Macaca fascicularis: one gene and its partners. The protein of the gene in region 1 interacts with the protein of each later gene in a biochemical or structural test. Links are inferred from orthologs where the notes say so. Each region holds a gene or a part of one and is shown on either strand. Other genes may lie near its edges. The genes, in order: PATJ, PKP4, TANC1, TJP3 and CLDN1.

Region 1 (4,872 bases):
TGCCATGGGGGTTTGATATACAGATTTCATCACCCAGGTAATAAGCATAGTACCTGACAGGTAGTTTTTCGATCCTCTCCCTTTTCCCACCTGATTTCCAACTTTATTTTGCCCCCCTGACTTGGAAAGCCTCTCCTTCTCCATTTTACCTAAATTAATCTGGCTCTGGTTAAGACCTGTTTAAGTTCTAACCCAGGCTTTCAAAAAACCTAACAGATCTCTTCATTTTCTGAGGTCTGGCTTCCATTTGGTAATTTGCCTAACGTTATTTCCCTCAGTAGTTTGTTAATTCCTAAAAAGCAGGAACCATGCTGATATTGTGTGTCTTCTTATCATGCCTAAGAAGTGTTACATTTCTTTTAAAACAAGGAAGCAAACTGTAAAGCACCAAGTGCATGATCTTAATTTTATTTATTTATTTGAGACGGAGTCTTGCTCTGTCGCCCAGGCTGGTCTTGAACCCCCAGGCTCAAGTGATCCTCCGACTTCAGCCCCACAGAGTAGCTGGGACTACAAGCTCACGGCACCACTCCAGGCTAATTTTTGTTGTTGTTGTTGTTGTTGCAGTGGAGTCTCTCTCTGTCACCCAGGCTGGAGTACAGTGGCAGGATCTCGGCTCACTGCAACCTCTGCCTCCTGGGTTCAAGTGATTCTCCTGCCTTAGCCTTCTGTGTAGAGGGACTACAGGCATCCACCACGCCCGGCTAATTTTTGTATTTTTAGTAAAGATGGGGTTTCATCATATTGGTCAGGCTGGTCTGGAACTCCTGACCTCAGGTGATCCACCCGCCTGGGCCTTCCAAAGTACTGGGATTACAAGCGTGAGCCACCGTGCCCGGTCTAAAAGTCTTTATGTTGTAGTTGTTTTGTATCTATTCCTCATCGTCCTGGGGACAGGGATACCATTTTACACATCTTCCCAGAGTCAATCACAGTATTTAACAATTACTGTATGTACTCTATGGATAAGATACCTGAAGATTGATTCTCTTTATCGTTAATGTGTGGATTGTATCAGGCAAGTAAAACCCCTATCATCAAAAGTCTAAAGTTATTAAAGGGAGTGGAAGAATACCATCGGGGCATATTTTTCTCGAAGGTGTGATACACAAATAAAATAAAATTAATATATAGTGAAATCATCACTGTATTTAGAGTCAAAATGCCTTGCCTGTGTTCCAAACAATGGGCCAGTCAACCTACCTGGTGCACGGTTTCCTCATTAGTTTCTTCAGAGAGTAATTGAGATATTGCATAAGCTAGCACTCAGCATACGGCAGGCAAATACTGCTGGATTTCTTCCTTCCACTAAATGAGAAGAAAATAATGACTCCCACATTTACACGTTTTAGAATATTTTATTTTGCGTCAGCGGATATAGAAAACGAGGGATGAGAGACTAAGAAAGGAAAAGGGCAAAAAGGCAAGGTGTTAAGCGGATTGACCCAACGCTTTCATTGATATCCTCCCCAATTTCCTGGATCTTGGGTCTAGCTCTTCACGCAGGCCTCCAACCACACCGGTCTGTCCGGATCTCCCTCCCCGTCAGTGCCGGCTGTCCCCACCAAGCGCGGTCTCATCCGCTCCCCCGCTCCCACAGCCCACTTTTCCCAGGCCTTTGGCCATCCCGCGCCCTGTAGGAATTCACCTGCACAGAAACAGCCAGGGAAAACGTCCTCCCTCCTTGGAGCCCGCCTCCCACAGCCCCGGGTTCCCTCCCCCGCCCCCGCGCCACCCCGGCGCCCCGCCCCGGGCGGAGAGAGTCGGGGCGAGGGGAGGGCCTGCCAGGTGAGGCGCGGCCACCCTAGGCCTCTCACTTCCGCCCAGGTGAGGCAGGGCCGACACCGAGCCCGCCCGACCCGGGCTCCCACCTGCTCCTCCAGCGCACCAGGTAAAGCGTGGGGGTCCCGGCTGTGCGGTGCGCACTTGCCCCTGGGGGTCCCCGCTCCTGGAGGCCGGCCAGGCGCAGCTCCCTCGCGGGCTTCCCGGGCCTGCCTGCCCTGTCCCCGCGCTCTCCCCGCCCGCCCGCCTGGAGTGGGTGGGAGCCGGAGGAGGAGGGCGCCGCCGGGCGCTCAGAGGGGCCGCGGCTGGGATGGGGCGCCCGCTGCGTGCGCCCGCGCTGGCCCGGGAGGCGGGGCGGGGGCGCCGTCCTCCTGCGTCGGGCCCGGGTGACCCCACGGTGGTCCCCGCCCCGCCGCGCAGGGCTCGCCGAGGCCGCGGGCAGGGAGGGGCGCTGCCCCGCCTCCCCAGGCCTTTCGGGCCTCAAATCTCGGCCCACTGGTATTCGGGGGTGGCACGGATCCGATTTTGCGCCCAGATCGGTGCCCATGTTTCGCTCCCAGAGGTGGGCGGAGTCTTTCCCTCCATCGGTGGCCGTGGAAGGAGGGAACGGGGTGAGGGGACAAAGAGGAGGGGGTGCTCAGAGCCGGGCTGAGTGGGCGACTTGGGCTCGGCCGCGTCCCGTAGCGGAGGTTCCCAAACCAGCGGTCAAGCCCTGGGCTCTGCCAGCCTTGCTACGTAGAAAGGGAGGTTCGGTCGGAAAGTGCTTCCAGCCTTAGGGGAAATTCTTGGATTCCTGCTTTTAAATCAAGCTCAGAAAAGCGTTTTCGGATCACTCCCACCCTCCAAAGCGCCCCAGTCGTCCCGCACGCAGGCCGAATTAAGTGAACACCCCTTCACCTGGCACTTTGTCATATTTCCGAGTGACTCTTGCACTTTGGATTCGAGTTTGTTGTTTACTGACTTGCCTCTGCCATTTAGAGGGTGCCCCTTTCAGGGCCTTATTTCTCGACTGCATTTAGGGTCTGGCTATTGGTAGGTGCGCGACAAGTGTTTCTTAAATGATTGAAGAAGCCTTTGGAAACCCTGAAGGACAATGTCGATTCCACTGAGGATGATACTACCACATTCTGGGCTAAATTCCTATTGGCGGCCAATTAATTTGCACACATCTATTTGAAAGAAGTGGAGGCAGGGGCAGCAGTTAAGAACTTAAATCTGTTTGCAGCATTAGAAAATGTTAGGTGAGATTGAGCCTTTTAGCTAAAGTGAGCTTTGATGTTTTTAGGGCCCATAATGCCTTTAAGATGTTGTTAACAACAACAACAAAACACTCCAAATATGTTGAATTTATTTGGGAATGAGAAATGAGGATTGTAGCCCGAGGGGCACAGCCCTGGCAAGCCATATATGCATGTAAGAGGGGAGGGTAAAGGGAAACTTTTATTGGCAAAGTAAGTGCAGATAAGCTGCTTGAAAACAGAGTTTATTGGTTTTGCAGACTCCAAGTCAGAGTTGGCCATTGTCGAACATGCCATTACTGGGCAGGTGTTATGGAGAGCATCTTATCAGGTCTGGCACCCTGCCTCATGCCTGTTATCTCAGCTACTTAGGAGGCTTAGGCAGGAGGATCGCTTAGGCAGGAGGATCGCTTGAGGCCAAGAGTTGGAGACCAGCCTGAGCAACATGGCTGTCTTTACAGAAAAAGCTTTTTAAATAGTCAGGTGTGTCGGGAGGTTGAGGCAGGAGAATTGCTTGAGCCCAGGAGATGGAGGCTGCGGTGAGTGGCGTTTGTACCACTACACTCCAGCCTGGGTGACAGAGCAAGAACCCTGCCTCAAAAAAGAAAAAAAAAAAAAAGGGAAAAAAGATTATCTTATCTTATCTTATCTTATCTTATCTGAATTACTGCATTCCTAAAGAAAGAATTTCTTAGGGGGTTATTTTAGTTTCTTGAGATCTTTATCTCAGACATGCAAGCATGAGCTTTCTCCCTCATGCTCTTCATCTCTAGTTTGTTTGGGTCTGAGAAAAAGTGATTTTGACCTGGTATCTGCAACTTTCACAAAAATAATAAGAAAGTTAATAAATATGGAAATACTTATGGATAGAACTTAGAACTTATAAAAGGAGTTCTGAAGAGATTTGCCCTTACTAGTCCAGATCCTATTAGGGGTAAGAGGAAAAACACAAACTTTTTCCTCTGCTCTCACACCACTGCAATCAACACTGAAGATTTCTGTGACCAAATAAATGTGTGGGGTAATCAGTTCTGCATCAAACAATAGCTGAGCATCTTCCAGTTCGATTCTGATACTGTCTACCTGGGGATAGTGTCAGATCCCATAGGACTGCCCCCACTTCTGATGCCAATCACAAGTCCTAGATTGTTTTACCCTGGCTTCTGACTAACCACCTATAAATTGGGAATCCCATAACCCCCTCCTCTGGTTTGGTTAATTTGCTAGAGCAGCTCACGAAACTCAAGAAAACACTTATTTAGGTTTATTACTAGTTTACTATTAAGAATATTACAGAGGATACAAGAGGAAGAGATGCATAACGTGAGGTTTGAGAAGGGGCATACCACATTCCAGGAACCTCCGTGTGTTCAGATATTGAGAAGCTCTCCCTACCCCATTTTCTTGGGCTTTTTATGGAGACTTCACTGGGTAAACATAATTGAAGCATGGAGTAGGGGAAACCCAGCAATGCCTATCTGTTCAGATTTTTCTTGGCCTCTCTCTGTAGCATTCCTTCCTCCAGGGTATGGGCAGGACCCCTTCTTATGGGGGTCTTACGACCTACAGTCAGACAACGGAGGTCAGATAATTTTTAAAAATATTTATTTATTTATTTATTTTGAGACAGAGTCTTGCTCTGCTGCCCAGGCTGGAGTGCAGTGTCGTGATCTCAGCTCACTGCAACCTCCGCCTGCCGGGTTCAAGTGATTCTCCTGCCTCAGACTCCGGGGTAGCTGGGATTACAGGCCTGTGCCACCATGCCTGGCTAATTTTTGTATTTTTAATAGAAACAGGGTTTTACCATATTGGCCAGGCTGGTCTCGAACTCCTGACCTCAAGTGATCCACCT
Region 2 (3,579 bases), on another chromosome or scaffold:
TCACCAATTTACATCAGTTCCTATTCCTCACCAGCAAGAGAACAAAATAGACGGCTACAGGTGAATTTGCAATATCATTTTTACAGAAGGCCGATTAGCAGTTAACACAGTAAGGGGTCCACGTCGGTTGACTTCCCAGAGCTGGGCCAACACGGCAGGGCCCTAGATGCTTTCCCTGGGGATCTTCACTCCTTGGAAACTCACCCGTGGTTTAAGCAAAGCATTTCCACGGTAGCCTCACGTTCTTAAGTATCCACATCGGTACTGCTGAGACCACCACGCCACTGATGGGGACAGCCAAGAAGTCTTTAGTTCATGTCCTTTGCCCAGCGGTGTCCTTTTCCCACTCTTTTTCTGTTAAGCTTTAAAATCTCTTCCAGCCTCTGGGTGAGGGAAGGTTGGTAAGCACACTTCATGCCCTCATCACCTTGTTCTCTTTTGTGTATACCTCATTCTCCATCTCACCCCTCTCTGTCCAGGCTCCACAATTTAAAAACACTGAGTCCATGGCCAGGTCTGTTTGTGTCGGTGGTTAAAGTGGACTCAGCCCCTGCCGGAATGGACCTCACTGTGGGAGAGTGGGACTGGCGGTTATAACACATCCCGGCTTTGCTTTCATGAAGGGCCTGCAGTCAGTCTCAGGTCCTTCCCGGTGCCGTGGTGAACCTGGACCATCTGGTCGCTCCTCTTCCCTTTCAATAACAGAGCAGCTGGAGTTTCCTAAAACAAGACTGTATCCTGTCCTTCAGATAAGGATGTGTTCTAAGACCTCTCCTTCTCATCATCTTTTCTCTGTAGATGGAAGAAAACGAATTTTCCAAGTTATTCATAATTTATGCCATAGTTTTTTAGTCAGGAAAAATAGACCAGAATCATAACTCTGGCTTGAAAAGAGAATTTAGCTCTGAAATCCTTATAATGTTAGAATGCATTGAGTTCCAGGACATAACATTAATTCCTGTGTGGTAAATTTGTTACATCTTACTAAGTAGGGGGATTTGGGCATGATCAAGAAGATAGACATAATAACCATCACAATTTGAAGAAATTAATGTGAGGTCAACGCTAAGACCGAACAAAAGGAAATGGAGAGCAGTGTGCCCTTTGTGGGTGCCCACGTGTGCCTGGCCTTGCCCACTTACAGATGGACTTAGCCTTGGCTTGGGGAAGCCTTTTCCTCTAGAACCATATTTGCTCACATGTCTCTCCTAATTTTACTATTCTTCTACCTTGAGATTGCTTATTCCTTTAATATTACGACTTACAGCAGAGTTTCCAAAGTGTGACTATTGTTCACCTAGCCACATACATCTTTTAAAGTGGAGAGATGGACTCCATCTTCATATCCGAAGTAAATGTTTTAAAAGATGGTTCGGTAATTATGCAATTATGCAAGGCCCAGAAACCCAATCTTCGACTAAATTAGTGATGTGCTAATAATTCCCCTGTGTCAAAGCAAATGTCAAGACCATCCTCTCATTCGGCATGCCCAGGTAACGGGTCCCTCCACAGCTGAGCACACAGCAGGGCCTCCAGTAAGGAGGGGAAGCCGCTGGGGCCACGTACCTGGAGATCTCAGGCTCTCCTGAGGCACCTACTTCTCTAGAGGTCTTAGGACAGGAAACTCAGCAGCCTGCCTGAGAGTGCAGCTTAAAATCCTTAGAGTCCAATAGTAAACAAACACATAGTGTGTGCCAGAAACAGCTTTTAACTTTAAGCTGCAACTATTGAATATTGCTTTAAAAATATGAAGCAAGAAGCCCACATTAATTTTCCTGACACGTCTTTTTAAAAAATTGCTTTTATTTATTTGCCTTTTCATTTTGTCAACAGCATCAACAGCTGTATTATAGTCAAGATGACTCCAACAGAAAGAACTTTGATGCATACAGATTGTATTTGCAGTCTCCTCATAGCTATGAAGACCCTTATTTTGATGACCGAGTTCACTTTCCAGCTTCTACTGATTACTCAACACAGTACGGACTGAAATCGACCACAAATTATGTAGACTTTTATTCCACTAAACGACCTTCTTATAGAGCAGAACAGTACCCAGGGTCCCCAGACTCATGGGTGTAGCATCAAGATGCCCGACAGAGGAACTCTTTCTTTCTAACCTTGTTTGGATTGAGGTGAAAAGTCCATCTTGCTGATTTGATGATTGAAATGTGAAAGTGAAGTGGAAGGAATGAGTGAAGTGCGTTTTTTTTTTTCTTTTTTGAGGAATTATCAGGGAAGTGAGGAAATTTTGGGAGAGGACTTTCTAAGCTCTATTTAGTTGTTAGATCTAATTATAGATTCTGTAGTCTGGTGAAGGTGTGGGTGACGTGATGAGAGGTTTGAGAAATGGGTGAAATGAAATGGGGGATGTGTAGGTCAAATCAAATTAAAGATTTTTTTAATGTGAATAAAGTTATGTTCTGATAGTTTGTACAGAAAAAATAAAATGGATGCCCATGTTTTATTGCTATTACTAAATGTCAAGATTGTATGCTATTATGTCTTGTAAATTTCTTTGTTGGTGTAAATATGGAAATGCCACATTGGTTAAGTGCCATCATTTGTAATGCAGTGTGTCACTTGAGAAGAGATTTGAAGAAACTGACAACTTCAAAAACAAATGGGAAGCCCAAGGAACTGTGAGCAATTAAAAACAAACTGCGATGCCCTTTGTCCCCACCACGCGTAGTGTACTTTGGAAGCACAACGTCCAGGCTGGTACCGCAGCGCCATGCCCATTCCTCGCCTCGTTCATAGGACACTTCACTGCCATTTTCTATGCACATAAAAGAAAAATAAATGTGGAAATTTCATCCTTGGAAATGTGTTCTCTATTCTTTTTAAATTTTCTGTATGTATATGGAAAAGCAGATTTAATAAACACAAATCTAACTGCATGTTGGAAACAGCCTAAACATATCCAACTATTTTGGACTTTTCCTAGTTTTATATATACTTTGTAAGATGGACCACACCAAAGAATTAAGCTATGAACTTTCCTCCTCTGACTATGTAGGTGTTTTCATTTCTTGGAATCTATTTTAAATCTAGTACACTTTACAGTTTTATCATGTTTTTCTCAGACCCATATGTACATATCATCACTCTTCACCTAAGACAAGTTATATCTGGCAGCGTGGCCGTAACTAAATTGATACTTTTTTAGGCATCGTTTTTAAGAACTCGGTAACTTCATAATAATAGTGGTTGGGCATTTATTTCATTGGCACCAATATAATAAAACAAATTCTAAATTATGATCTTGTTGAATAATTCCATGAGACAGTAATTCCTGGATTAGGAATGGGGCAGGGGAAAGAAGCCCCACAGATAGGGTAGGCAGAGGTCCCCATAGCACCACACAGCATTACTTGGGAGCTTTTCTCCATCTGTGGAGACAATGAGGGGCACCAGGCCCAAAATCTGAGGCCTTCTCGGGTCTTGCAGTTTCTACCCTTCAGCCCTAGCTCTTGGATCTTTGTGTAAATATGGAAATGCCACATTGGTTAAGTGCCATCGTGGAAAACTAGGAACTAATTTACCTATAGCTGTACTAGGAAAACTAGGAACTAACCC
Region 3 (4,160 bases), on another chromosome or scaffold:
AAGTTCAACTGAGGTATAATTTCAGTTTTTATAATGAAAAAATTCCAAATGCTGTTTTTAAATAAATATCATAAAAGGGCAAAAATCAAAACCTAATGTCTAAAAGTCTTTACTGAAACACGATAGGTATAGAAGGAGTCAATGGTTAAGATACAATTTCAGGATTCAAGAGAGAAGGAAGATGGAGGGGAAAAAATATCACCCTACCGCTTGCTGCAAATGTTACCTCATGTTTAAGTTTTACGAAAAAATAGACTTCTGAGAATAGGCCTTAAAAATCTTTCACCTTCAGCTGGGCACAGTGGCTCGCGCCTGTAATCCCAGCACTTTGGGAGGCTGAGGCGGGTGGATCACCTGATGTCAGGAGTTGGAGACCAGCCTGGCCAACATGGTGAAAATCCATCTCTACTAAAAATACAAAAATTAGCCAGGCGTGGTGGTGGCTGCCTGTAATCCCAGCTACTCGGGAGGCTGAGGCAGGAGAATCACTTGAACCCGGGAGGCAGATGCTGCAGTGAGCCAAGATCATGCCACTGTACTCCATCCTAGGCGACAGAGCAAGACTCTATCTCCAAAAAAAAAAAAAAATCTTTCACCTTCATTTTTCCCTTCAAAAAAACACAAAGCCCCACAGCAAACCCATGCAAATAACTACCAGCAGGAGTAGGTTTAAACTCTGGCAGGCCTCTTGGCCCCACACACTCCATGACGGTAACCAGGGCTAGATGCCACCATTTGAAAATGTGCAATTCGATGCCAACAGGAAACTTACCTGACATCTTGATAAATATGCCTTGAGCTAAAAAGGTCAGAGTTTCACCCATGTGGGGCTCTCTGGACTAATTTTTCAAATTCTTAACATAGTTTCTAATTCAAGCAGCTGAATGGTTTACAACAGTTTTATGTTATTAATATTTATCACTGTAAAATTGGAATATAGGGACTTGGAGAAAGATTTGAGAATTCTTTGTTACCTGAAAATTTGCTCTTACAGTCACAATCAACTTCAACCAGGCAGGAAATTTAGAAATAATTTTGGTAATAAATGAAGAAAGCGTATCTCCATAATCAGGTTTATGAAACTCAGCTTCATTTAAGCCATCTATCAAAATAATGTATTCTTCTTCAGGAATTTTCTGCTCTACAGGATAAAATAATTTTTTCAAATTAAGAAATTATACATTTCTCTAAGACAGCAACACCCAGTGTATTTTAGTGCCCAGTTTAATGTTAGAAACTAAAAAGGTTTACATATGGCACAAGAAACAGTTTTCACAGAAGCATATTTTCTATTAAATTTATAGTGAAAACTGGAGCACAGAGCCAAAAGAAAACCAATTCTCACAAAACAAACATATTGCATGACATACGTTAGCAGAATCTCACTCATGTATATAATACAGTTAGCTCTTCATAAACCATTGTCACTGGGGTGAGCTACACAAAGATAATGAACACATAACAGACTTCCAATCCAGAAAGGTCACTAGGTCCCCCATGAGAGCTCCTTAGTGGATTCCAGGGAAGGGAAACTGACATCCTCGCTGCCCCCAACCCAGGGCAAAGTGCCCGGCCCAAGCCACACAACCACACAGTGTGAGAGCTCCACACTACTGACTCCTCCAACAGGGCTCTTCTCCGCGAGCCAGAATCTGGTTTCCTATTTATTAGTGCTGATTTTCTGCCCAGGAAATAGAGAAGAAATGATGACATATCTGTTTTCTATCCCTCTAGCACCTTCCAGCAGAGGGGCCATGTGGGCAGATAAACAAGCTCAAAAGGTGAGGAGGTGAGGGGAGAGAAGATGGGAAACTGAAGGGACCATCAGGTCACTGATACCTTGTTGGGGACAAAAAATTAAAATGGAAACCTTTAGAAGTCACTTTAAGGTTTCAATTCAACTGAGCAGAGGCCCTGACAAATATATATTCTGGAAAATTCCTCCAAATAATCCACTTATTCCCTCAGATACTTAGGAGTGCAAAATACACAACAGTCTTCCGTGGTGCAAGTCATCTAAATAGCCCACAGTTACAAACTACTTTGGAACCGCTCAGTCATCACATTCATTCTTATCAGGGTGCTCCTTTTAACACTATACCACAGGGGTGGTGTAGGAGGGACCTCATGGGGCTGGTTCTGAGAAAGAGGAGCGGATGGGCACTGACGCTTCCACATTCTCTCCCTGCTCCAGCTCACTTCTACCCCAGGGCCCCGCTGACCACCTGCCTTCTGGGGACCACCTGTGTATGCTGTACCACTACTGAGAGGGGCTGTAGGTAGCTGCTATGAGGTACCATTTCTCAGGTTTGTGAGTGGCTCCAGCACTCCCCTCTTGAAAGCTGCCACCGGGTCCTGCACACAGGATCGGAGACTCAGCATGCTCTGTAGTTGGGGCTCCTTTATCAGAAGGTCTCTGTAGGCGGCCAGCTGATGGGACCGGCAGAGCAAAGCTGCGATGCTGTGCACAAACTCGGGCACCAGGCAAGTGTATGTGTTGTCAGCCTGGCAGTAGTGGTAGGCCACCACCTAGGGGGAAGCAGAACTGTCAGCGTCACCTCACCCTCTTCACACAGCTCCTTCTGCGATCTCAAACAGGAACACAACTCTGCTCGTCCGCTGATAACAAGATACATAACATCTATTGCCCAAGACTGGGTCATTTGTTAGCATAATTGTTCCATTTATTCCTTCCTTCCCTTGTGTGGTTTGCGAACCTTTAACTGCATCCACAAAATCCATCTTGATTAGCATAAAAATCAGCACGTTACTTTGTATTGAATATAAGCAAACAGCATTCATAAAATGTAAAATTTACCCTGGCTTAGAGCAGCTCCAAGCCATCCTAATATTCTCAACATCAAAAAGTGCCATCTTCACTAGGCTTCTGTTCTCAAGAGCAGCAGCACCTCTTTAGGAAACCCTTTTGCTGATCCCAAAAGGCAGATGATAAAGCCAGAGGCTGTGAGACCGGGGCTGCAGAGTCGCAGCAGCTCCTTCTCCTGGTCCAGAGGGTCAAGACGTTGGCCCCTCCCCACACCCGCACTGCATCAAGGGACACTGTGGAGAAGTTCAATAGGGACGCTGTCTGAAGAATGAAACCCGAAATCACCAATTCTCTGCCCATCATGTGGAGAGACAAGTTGGAGGAGAGAGGGAGCTGCCTGGGTACTGAGAGGAAAAGGAATCGTTCTGTTCCAAGGGACCTGCAGCATCAGCAGGCTGCTTGTGAGAGGGACGCCAGGAAACGGCCAGACACAGAAGTGTTGGGAATGGGAGGCATGCAGTAGATAGAAGAAAAATCCAATACTTTTCCAAAGAAGGATGATAGGAGAAACACAAGTACAAGGTAAGGAAGGCAAAGAAGAGCAAAACACTTGTGCCAAGAGATACATGTTTTTTGGAAGTATCTGCCTTGCTGCTGTCCCACTGGACGCGGCAAGACCCTGCAGGAAGTAGGACAAGAACCACTAGCCACAGTTCATCACTGAGGGCACCAGACACTGAGGTTAGATGCCTTGCCAACCTGACACAGATAGTCAAGGATGTGGGATTAGATCCCAGGTCTGCAGACTCTTTAAAAGACAAGTGGCAAAAGTAAATGTGCAACAGCTTTCCTCTGGCCAACCTGGAGCTGCCATGAGACTTTTGGTTTAGATTAAATTTATCGTCAACACTCAGAGGAAAGCTGGCTGCTCTCCAACTCTCACCTGGACAGAAATTAGCAGGGATACACGTGAGCATCCTGTAAGCTTGTGCAAACCATCATGAGATGTCCAGTACCACAGTCTTGCACGGCGTTTCACAAAAGCAGCTTTGCTTTTTTTTCCATGACCCAACAGTGGGTCATGAAATCTATTTATTTAGTTATTTACTTTTATTTTTTATTTTTTTGAGATGAAGTCTTGCTCTGTTGCTTGGGTTGGAGTGCAGCTGCACAATCTTGGCTCACTGCAACCTTCGTCTCCTGGGTTCAAGCGATTCTCCTGCCTCAGCTTCCCTAGTAGCTGGGATTACAGGTGCCCGGCACCACGCCCAGCTAATTTTTGTATTTTTAGTAGAGACGAGGTTTCAATATGTTGGCCAGGCTGGTCTCGAACTCCTGACCACTGGAGTGATCTGTACGCCTCAGCTTCCCAAAGTGCTGGGATTACAGGCAT
Region 4 (3,294 bases), on another chromosome or scaffold:
TAGCTAAGAGCCACGTGGCACCGAGCAACTTGCAGCCATTTTTTTTTTCTTTTTTTTTGAGACGGAGTTTCGCTTTTGTTGCCCAGGCTGGAGTGCGATGGCGCCAACTCAGCTCACCGCAACCTCCGCCTCCCGGGTTCAAGCGATTCTCATGCCTCGGCCTCCTGAGTAGCTGGGATTACAGGCATGCACCACCATGCCTGGCTAATTTTGTATTTTTAGTAGAGACAGGGTTTCTCCTTGTTGGTCAGGTTGGTCTCAAACTCCCAACCTCAGGTGATCTGCCCGCCTCAGCCCCCCAAAGTGCTGGAATTACAGGCATGAACCACTGCACCCGGCCTAATTTTTTTTTTTTTTTTGAGTTAGAGTTTCGCTCTGTCGCCCAGGCTGGAGTGCAGTGGCATGATCTCGGCTCACGCCAGCCTCGGCCTCCTGTGTTCAAGCAATTCTCCTGCCTCAGACTCCCAGGTAGCTGGGATTACAGGCGAGCACCACCATGCCCAGCTATTTTTTTTTTCTTAAGGTATTCTTAATAGAGACAGGGTTTCACCATGTTGGCCAGGCTGGTCTCCAATTCCTGACCTCAGGTGATCCACCTGGGCCTCTCAGAGTGTTGGGATTACAGGCGTGAGCCACTGCACCTGGCCTCCAGCCAACATTTTAACCTCTCTCTGCACCTGTTTCCTCATCTAGGACACAGGGTGGATGGTATCAGACTTGGTGGCACAGGGCAGTGGCAAGCACTCAATGTACTCAGCCCAAGTCTTGGCACATAGTAGTTGCGTGTTTTTTTGAACTTGCCCTAACTTACCTAATTTATGTATTTTACTTTTTCAATTTTAGAGATAGGGTCTTGCCCTGCTGCCCAGGCTGGAGTGCAGTGGTGCAATTATAGTTCATAGCAGCCTCCAGTTCCTGAGCTAAAGGGATCCTCTCACCTCAGCCTCCCGAGTAGCTGGGACCACAAGCACGCACCATCACCCATGCCCAGCTAATTTTTTTCACTTTTTGCAGAGATGTGGTCTTGCTATGTTGCCCAGGCTGGTCTCTTAACTCCTGGGCTCAAGTGATCCTCCTGCCTTGGCATCCCAAAGTGCTGGGATTACAGGCGTGAACCACGGCACCCAGCTGTAGTTGGGTGTTTAACAAAGGTGTATGTAGCTCTTAGTGTATATGCCTCAGCATCTTCTTCCACACCCTCTCTGGGTCAATGTAAAAATCTATGAATCGATGACATCTCTGATTAGAATGATTTTCCTAGGGTTGTGCAGTACCCAACCTGTTCAACTGTCCATGGCGGCCGCATATGGAGCAGCCACTATACTAAGTCTTTTACATACATGAACTCATGGCAGTGGCCCTATGAGGACCTGCACAGATAAGAAACGCAATTCCCCTTTTGCTGACAGGCTAGGAGGTCTCAGCTAAGGCCTTCCCCTATCCCAGCCTGTTTTCTCATTTATATTTGGGGATGACCTGCAGACTTGTCATGGGGTTAGCAATTGGGCAGCATGGCCCCGGCCAACGTGGGGGATGGGATGGACGTGGTTATTGATCTCGACTTACCATGCTCTGGGGGGAATTTTGAAGCTCCTCTCTCCCTCTCCTCCAAGGTGGACAGCAGCCATCCCCAGGGTCAGTGGCGACAGGACAGTGTGCGGTAAGAACCACATATTCCAGACTGGGGGCCCCCTCAACCCTTCCCTTGGGACTCAGACTCTGGGGTTAATAAAGAGATCTATATCCAAGCTATGCCTTCATGTGCCCCTAGCCTAGTTGGGAAGACAGAGCCTGCCAAAGCCTCTCTAAGCCCCATATAATCATGGCCAAGGGAGTAGGAATCCACTTCCTGGGAGAGCTAGGAAGGCTTCTTGAAGGGCAGGACATTGAAGCTGGGGCTTTGAGGGATGCATAGGAGTTTGTTAACAAGGCGCTACCCATGAATGCCCAGATGTGCTTATCTCTGCCCACACCCACTGTGCCTAGCACAGTCAGCCTCAGTTTACAGTGGGAAAGCTCACACGCTCCCCACCCACAGCATCTATTCTATTTCCTGATCCCCAGAACCTATGAACGGGAAGCCCTGAAGAAAAAGTTTACACGAGTCCGCGATGCGGAGTCCTCCGATGAAGAAGGCTACGACTGGGGTCCGGCCACTGACCTGTGACCTCTCCCAGGCTGCCAGCTGGTCCGTCCTCCTTCTCCCTCCCTGGGACTGGGACTCAGTTTCCCATACAGAACCCGCAACCCCACCTCCCTCCACCTGGTCTTTAATAAACAGAGTATTTTCACAGCACCGGCTTCTAGTGGCTTCCGGGAAGGATAAGGTGGTGAGAGGGCCAATCCCCGGGCTCACCTTCCTCGGTCTCGTAGACCCTGATCCGAGACTTTGCCGCTTGCATAAGCTTTTACTGTTTTTATATCAGGAAATCATACAGGACCAAGAACCGCTGGGGTCCTGGCCAGCCAAGGCAGGCCCAGGATGGGGCTCCGGGGCCATGGAGGCGAAGGCACAGTGGCAGGCAAGGGACATGGTGGTCACAGGTACACGGGCTGCTCCTGGCCTGTGAGGAGGCGGTATGTGGCGGCTGGCATCGTCTTGATATGTACCTGGGGAGTGGAGGCAGAATGGGGTTCAGGGCAGGCCTGGGCTTGCCAGGGACGTGGGGGCGCCCCTGGCCACCACCCACCACCTGCACACCTCGCCGTAGGCCTCGGTGAGCAGCTCGATGATGCGGGCGTGTGGCGTGGCCACCACGCTCTGCCCATTGATCTCAATGATGCGGTGGCCCACACGGATGCCCCCGCGCTCGGCGATGCCGCCGCGGAGAAGGCTGCAGATCTGGGGGAGGAAAGCGGGGAATGGGAAAGAGGTGGGGGCTGCTCAGGGGCCGTGCTCAGGGCCGCCCTCCTCCCCACCTCGGGCCAGGGGCCGGGGCCTCACGATGCCGTCCTCCACGCAGAAGCCCAGTTGCTCGCGAGTGTGGGGCCGGTGGATGATGGCGGTGGTGACGGGCGGGCAGTGGACGATGCTGAGTGTCACCGACGTCTGCGACTTCGTCTCCTGCAGGGCGGGGGCCGTTGGCCTCACTCAGCTGCCGGACAGCCTGGCAGCCTGTAGCCCCCTCTGGGCCTCAGTTTACCCTCTCATAAACCAGAGACCTGAAGTGCAGGGGCTCAATTCTGGGAGACCCCTCAGATGTGGTGGAGAACAGACTCGGGCCCGGTGGGCTTGGGGTCGAAGCTGTGTGACCTGAGCCATATCACTTCCTTATGGCCAAAAGCCAAGCCGAC
Region 5 (4,749 bases), on another chromosome or scaffold:
GTATCTCATTTTGTATTTACTGTATACACTATTAGCACACTGTATTCCTTCAGCTACTTTATGAAGGTCATATGCTTTTTACAACCTACCCTACATAAACCAGGGAAACAAGAGATTTTAATACCTCCAGTGCTAAAGCCTTGGCAAAGCCCTGCATCTGGGCTCGAAGACAAGTGTTCTCTACTGGGAAAGACAGCAAGGTACAATTTCAGGAAACCCACAGCTAAGCTTTTCACCTAAACACACTTAATGAAATGCAGCTTTTTTATGAGGGATACTGCTTAGATATACACACATAACCCTTTTCGTCTCCACATGTAACAAAACTATCCCAAAACCGGCCAATGAATCACCATCCCAGATCTCTACAGCTGGTGGGCGTAAACGCCACTGCTCAGGCAGAGAAATGGAGTGAGGTTTCCTGGACTCCATCCAAAAGCATGCCGTGAGTCATGGCAGGTTCGAAGAGAAAACCTGTGAGTCCAGGGTCCCTCTTCTGAGAATGGGTTTTGAGAGAAAGGTGTAAGCCACACCTTGGATAAACTATGGCTTTAAGTAAAACAAAAGTGGATTCTGATCTGGAGTTTAAAAAAAAACAACTAAGAAGACACCTCTAAAGCGTATGTGGGGGAATAGCTATTTAGTCCTTTCACCGCAGTTTCAAAAACTGTGATAACTACATTAACCAAAAAATGAAAGGAAAACATTTTAACACATTATCGTGTGTAAGGGTGATCCCTTTGAGTTTTTACAACATGGATCAATCTGATTTCATGTGGTCATTTCAGGAAAGTTAAAAGAAAACCTATTTAAAGATGTTGAAAGGAACTATTTTGATCAGAGGAACAAAACTGACAGTGAGGCCTCTCTGGAATTGTCCTTAGAAACCTCCGTCTGCCAATTCCTTAACGTGCCACCTAAAATGCCTGACACCGTTTCCTTAAATATATCTATCTTTCCATGGAGAAATTCAATAATTATTACCTAATTTTTCACTTTATAAGCACAAATATAACCCATGAGGGCAATGAGCAACACATAATTACTAAACTTAGAGATTGGTTTTGGTGTAAAGAAGTCCTAACATGGGAACCTTCAGAAGCTGAAATCCTAACACTCAAAACGACCATGCACATTGACTGAGCCAATGCCACAGGTATTCAAGGTGTTTAAACAGATGTGGAACAGGTTTAATAGCTCTAAACTATATGGCTTTTGATATACACTATTAAAAGTTGTCCATTGATAGGAGGTAGACAAAACAAGTTAAGTAAACTTGAACAATGCCAACACTTTCCGCCCTTAGCACACAATGGGGGCTAGTGGGCAGTCACGTTTATCTAGGCAAAGACTAAGGGACCTTTTCTTCAAGTGAGTTAAAGGGCATAACAGACACATGATATAAGACAAGTAATGTGATTTCTCTAGGAAGATACTCCAGCCATGAATCATTATTACCTAAGTAAACGGGAATTTAATGATTTTTCTGACAAGGCACTCAAAACCTTTAGTTAAAAAAAGTAAAAAATTATCCTATTATCCTTCTTCCCACCATCCTTAGAAATATGTCTCTCTATACAATCCTTTCCAACGTGACAAGGGGTCACTGAACATCCATTACACAGAAATTCCTTTGTGGAAGATGGAAACCTAAGGAAGACCCACCTCTTCTTTCTCTCTCACTGCCTTCCACTCCCAGCTGACCTCTGATTTCATCAGCTATGACTATTTTGCTGCATTTCCCTTCAGTGCCTTTACTTTTCCCTTTGTATTATGTTGGGCAGGTTATTTAGAACCTTTGTTGTCAGCCTTCCCCCACTTGCCACCAACCTTCTCTTTCCAAAATAGAACTACACCATCAGCCTCCACCGAAGACCTTGGGTGTAAAACTTCAAACTTTGGGGGAATCTCAAGCGGCTTCTCCAGAGTCTTGCAAGGGGCCTCCCTGCACTAACTAGATCTTACACATTAAAAGAATCATCCTCAAGTATGAGCAGAAGACACTTCGGACATTTCAAGTAGGAATGTAAATTTTACTATGCAAAATCATAGTAAAGGTTACAAAAATTATATCTCATACTTGAGGATTATTTATTTAAGCTTGCACACTTGAGAAGTTACCAGGCTCCAAACTTTTAAAGCCATCCCATTTTTCTTGTCTGAACCCTACCAATCCTCAATTTACCCCAGATCTCAGAATGCCTAGGAGAGGTCTCAGAGCTCAAGTTCAAGTTTAGCCTTCACTCCCTCAATCTCGACCCCCCGGCATAGGAATTTAGGATGAAGCCACACCTAGAGTGGCAGAAAAGTATCACCCAGGGAGTTTTAGGCAAAACTAGAGCTTATGCCTGGGCGTCCCTTTTCTCAGACCAGGATTCTCTTCATTTCCTTATGACAGAGCACATGATCAGAAGACTTGATCAACTAAAGACTGATAACCATGGAATCACACGACAGAATGAGACGGTAAGGGAGCTGCAGGGGGACTGGGGCCTCTGGACGGCTGGGAGGTGGGGTGCACTCACTGCTCAGATTCAGCAAGGAGTCAAAGACTTTGCACTGGATCTGCCCGGTGCTCTGCGACACGCAGGACATCCACAGCCCCTCGTACATGGCCTGGGCGGTCACGATGTTGTCGCCGGCATAGGAGTAAATCCTCCACTGGGGCAGGGCAGTGCTGACGATGGCGCCGATCCATCCCAGGAAGGCGAGAATGAAGCCCAAAAGCTGCAGCCCCGCGTTGGCCATGACTCGCTCGGCCGCCCGCGCTGGCTCAGGGGTGGCAGGTGCAGAAGGCAGAGAGTTTGCAGGTGCGCAACGCGGGCTCCCGAAGGTGGCTGGGCCCCGCGGAGGAAGTTAAAGCGGGGAGCCCTGCTCGCTGCGCCGCCGCTGGAGAAGCTCTGGGTCCGGGCTGGGGTCCGGGGCCCGGGCGGCGCTGGAGTCTGGATACTAGAAGCTGCGGTTGCTCCCAGGCTCAGGAACTGAGACGCCAAACCGCTGGGCGCCGCGATTTAAAGCAGCTCCGCCCGCCTCGGCCCCGGCAGCCGGGGAGCGCCCCCTGGCGGTTTCAGGGCGGCTCACCGAGAGGGCGCCGGGAGCGCCGGGTTGGGGGAACACGCGGCTGGTGGCGTGGGGACCATCCCGCAGGACCAGGCACTATAGCTGCGTCCCTGCTCGTTTTCTCTGGTGGATCTTCCCGCTCCTGTCAGGCGTTTCGCGCTTTTCATTCATTCACTCCAATTATCCAAAAATTACTATGCACTGTACCTGTAAATCCAAAAAACAAAGATGAAAAAATGAGCCCTCAAGAGCTGCAGTTTTAGGTTTAATACCTTTTTCCTATTGTTTTATTAAAAGGCATTTCCACCCAACTCCGCATCTCCTCCCCCATCACACACATTTCTCTCTCCTTTACTTGGCTTCCTCCCCCTTCTCCTTTCATCTCTCTGCTCCCTTCTGTCAAGGTCGTTCCATTACTTGTCTCTGCAAGAGAGAGATCTTTACACTCTACAAATTGGGAAACAGACCCAGAGAGGAACATGATTTACACACACACACACACACACACACACACACACACACACACACACACACAGCATATCTAGTACTTGGCTCCCCTCCCAATCTGCTTTCCACTACATATCAAGTTGACCCAAAAATACCCCCTTTGATCTCTGATTGTCCTTTTTGATGTATTATTGTCCTTACGAAAATGCAGCCTAGCCCTCCCCCGCCAAACACCAACCTCCTGCCCACAGCAGTTATGTCTTAGGCAGCAATTCATTATCAGAGAGACCTGGTCGGTGCCCCGCTCTCCCTGAAAGATGTTAATTTTGTGAGTTATCACATGCTGTTCGTCACAGGTGAGGGCATGTAAACAGCGTTTCCCAGTGGAAGAAGGACTGGGCTGGAGTTGAGGAAGTCTGGGCTCTGGTTCCAGCTTTTGCTGTGACTGGCTATGTCACCCCTCCGGTTTCGGTCTCGCTGGGACTGTAGTTTCCCTCTATGCTTCTCTAAAGCTTCCTTCTTTGTAGTTAGTCAGAAGTGCTGCTGTGGTTAGGAATAATTGAAGTGTTTTCCCACTGCTTTTTGTGCGTGGTGCGAGTGTGGTGGGAGGGGAAGCTTCTATGGTTTTAGTAAAAACAGAAGCACCTTGGAAGCAGAAATAAACATATTAAGGAGAAAACAAGATATACTCTTATATACCATGGCAACTGCTAGTGGGTGACAGAGAAGGAAAGGTGCAAATGCTCAAGGAGGGAATGGGAGGAAAGGCCAAGCCCCACCACCTTCATTTCCACCTGGCTCTCCCTGGATGCCTTTCGTGTAGGCTTACCACTAAAGGACTTGGCCGTGCTAGGATTTGGGGACAAGCACTGAAGAATGTAAAACAGGAGTTAGATGAAGACATTTAATTTGGACTAAGATTAACACAGTGAATGCTGTCTTTCTCCTATCAGCTGTTTAGGGCAAGACCATGTCCCTGTTGTATCCCAGGGTTTGGGCCTGCAGTCAGTACTACTTTCTAGGTCTCGGTGGATGTTCTGTGGGTGCCTGTCAGTGTGAATGAAGATGTATCAATCACATTTGATTTTGTAAAAATTCCCTGATCAGAGAAGGCACTAGAATTTGCTGTAGGACTAGACCAGTACCATGTGAATCACATAATCTCATTTTCCTTTTTTTGTTCCAAACATTTAAGAATTAAAACTGTTATTAAACACCCAGGCACGGTGGCTCAGGCCAGGC

Evidence for each region.
Region 2: the proteins of PATJ (region 1) and PKP4 interact in a test that uses a peptide from one of them, tested with the Homo sapiens proteins (2 studies listed by IntAct, with this or other methods). The link is inferred for Macaca fascicularis from reciprocal best matches to the Homo sapiens genes PATJ and PKP4.
Region 3: the proteins of PATJ (region 1) and TANC1 interact in a test that uses a peptide from one of them, tested with the Homo sapiens proteins (2 studies listed by IntAct, with this or other methods). The link is inferred for Macaca fascicularis from reciprocal best matches to the Homo sapiens genes PATJ and TANC1.
Region 4: the proteins of PATJ (region 1) and TJP3 form a complex in vitro, tested with the Homo sapiens proteins (2 studies listed by BioGRID and IntAct, with this or other methods). The link is inferred for Macaca fascicularis from reciprocal best matches to the Homo sapiens genes PATJ and TJP3.
Region 5: the proteins of PATJ (region 1) and CLDN1 form a complex in vitro, tested with the Homo sapiens proteins (2 studies listed by BioGRID and IntAct, with this or other methods). The link is inferred for Macaca fascicularis from reciprocal best matches to the Homo sapiens genes PATJ and CLDN1.

What each region holds. Positions count from the first base shown.
Region 1 is NC_088375.1:172,972,286-172,977,157, reverse strand, and holds the start of PATJ (inaD-like protein), read left to right. Parts: upstream 1-1,765; 5' UTR 1,766-1,871; coding exon of another isoform or gene 1,872-2,329; exon of another isoform or gene 2,330-2,340; intron 2,341-4,872. Other genes in the region: uncharacterized protein, read right to left, coding at 1,260-1,308, 1,872-2,329.
Region 2 is NC_088386.1:54,152,174-54,155,752, forward strand, and holds the end of PKP4 (plakophilin-4), read left to right. Parts: coding exon 1-60; intron 61-1,833; coding exon 1,834-2,082; 3' UTR 2,083-2,826; downstream 2,827-3,579. UniProt on the Homo sapiens protein: Plays a role as a regulator of Rho activity during cytokinesis. May play a role in junctional plaques.
Region 3 is NC_088386.1:54,606,291-54,610,450, reverse strand, and holds part of TANC1 (protein TANC1), read right to left. Parts: intron 2,530-4,160; coding exon 2,298-2,529; intron 1,142-2,297; coding exon 975-1,141; intron 1-974. UniProt on the Homo sapiens protein: May be a scaffold component in the postsynaptic density.
Region 4 is NC_088393.1:4,469,155-4,472,448, forward strand, and holds the end of TJP3 (tight junction protein ZO-3), read left to right. Parts: exon of another isoform or gene 1-1,613; coding exon 1,614-1,660; intron 1,661-2,064; coding exon 2,065-2,167; 3' UTR 2,168-2,293; downstream 2,294-3,294. Other genes in the region: APBA3 (amyloid-beta A4 precursor protein-binding family A member 3), read right to left, coding at 2,539-2,610, 2,702-2,842, 2,945-3,064. UniProt on the Homo sapiens protein: TJP1, TJP2, and TJP3 are closely related scaffolding proteins that link tight junction (TJ) transmembrane proteins such as claudins, junctional adhesion molecules, and occludin to the actin cytoskeleton.
Region 5 is NC_088376.1:8,231,890-8,236,638, reverse strand, and holds the start of CLDN1 (claudin-1), read right to left. Parts: upstream 2,984-4,749; 5' UTR 2,749-2,983; coding exon 2,526-2,748; intron 1-2,525.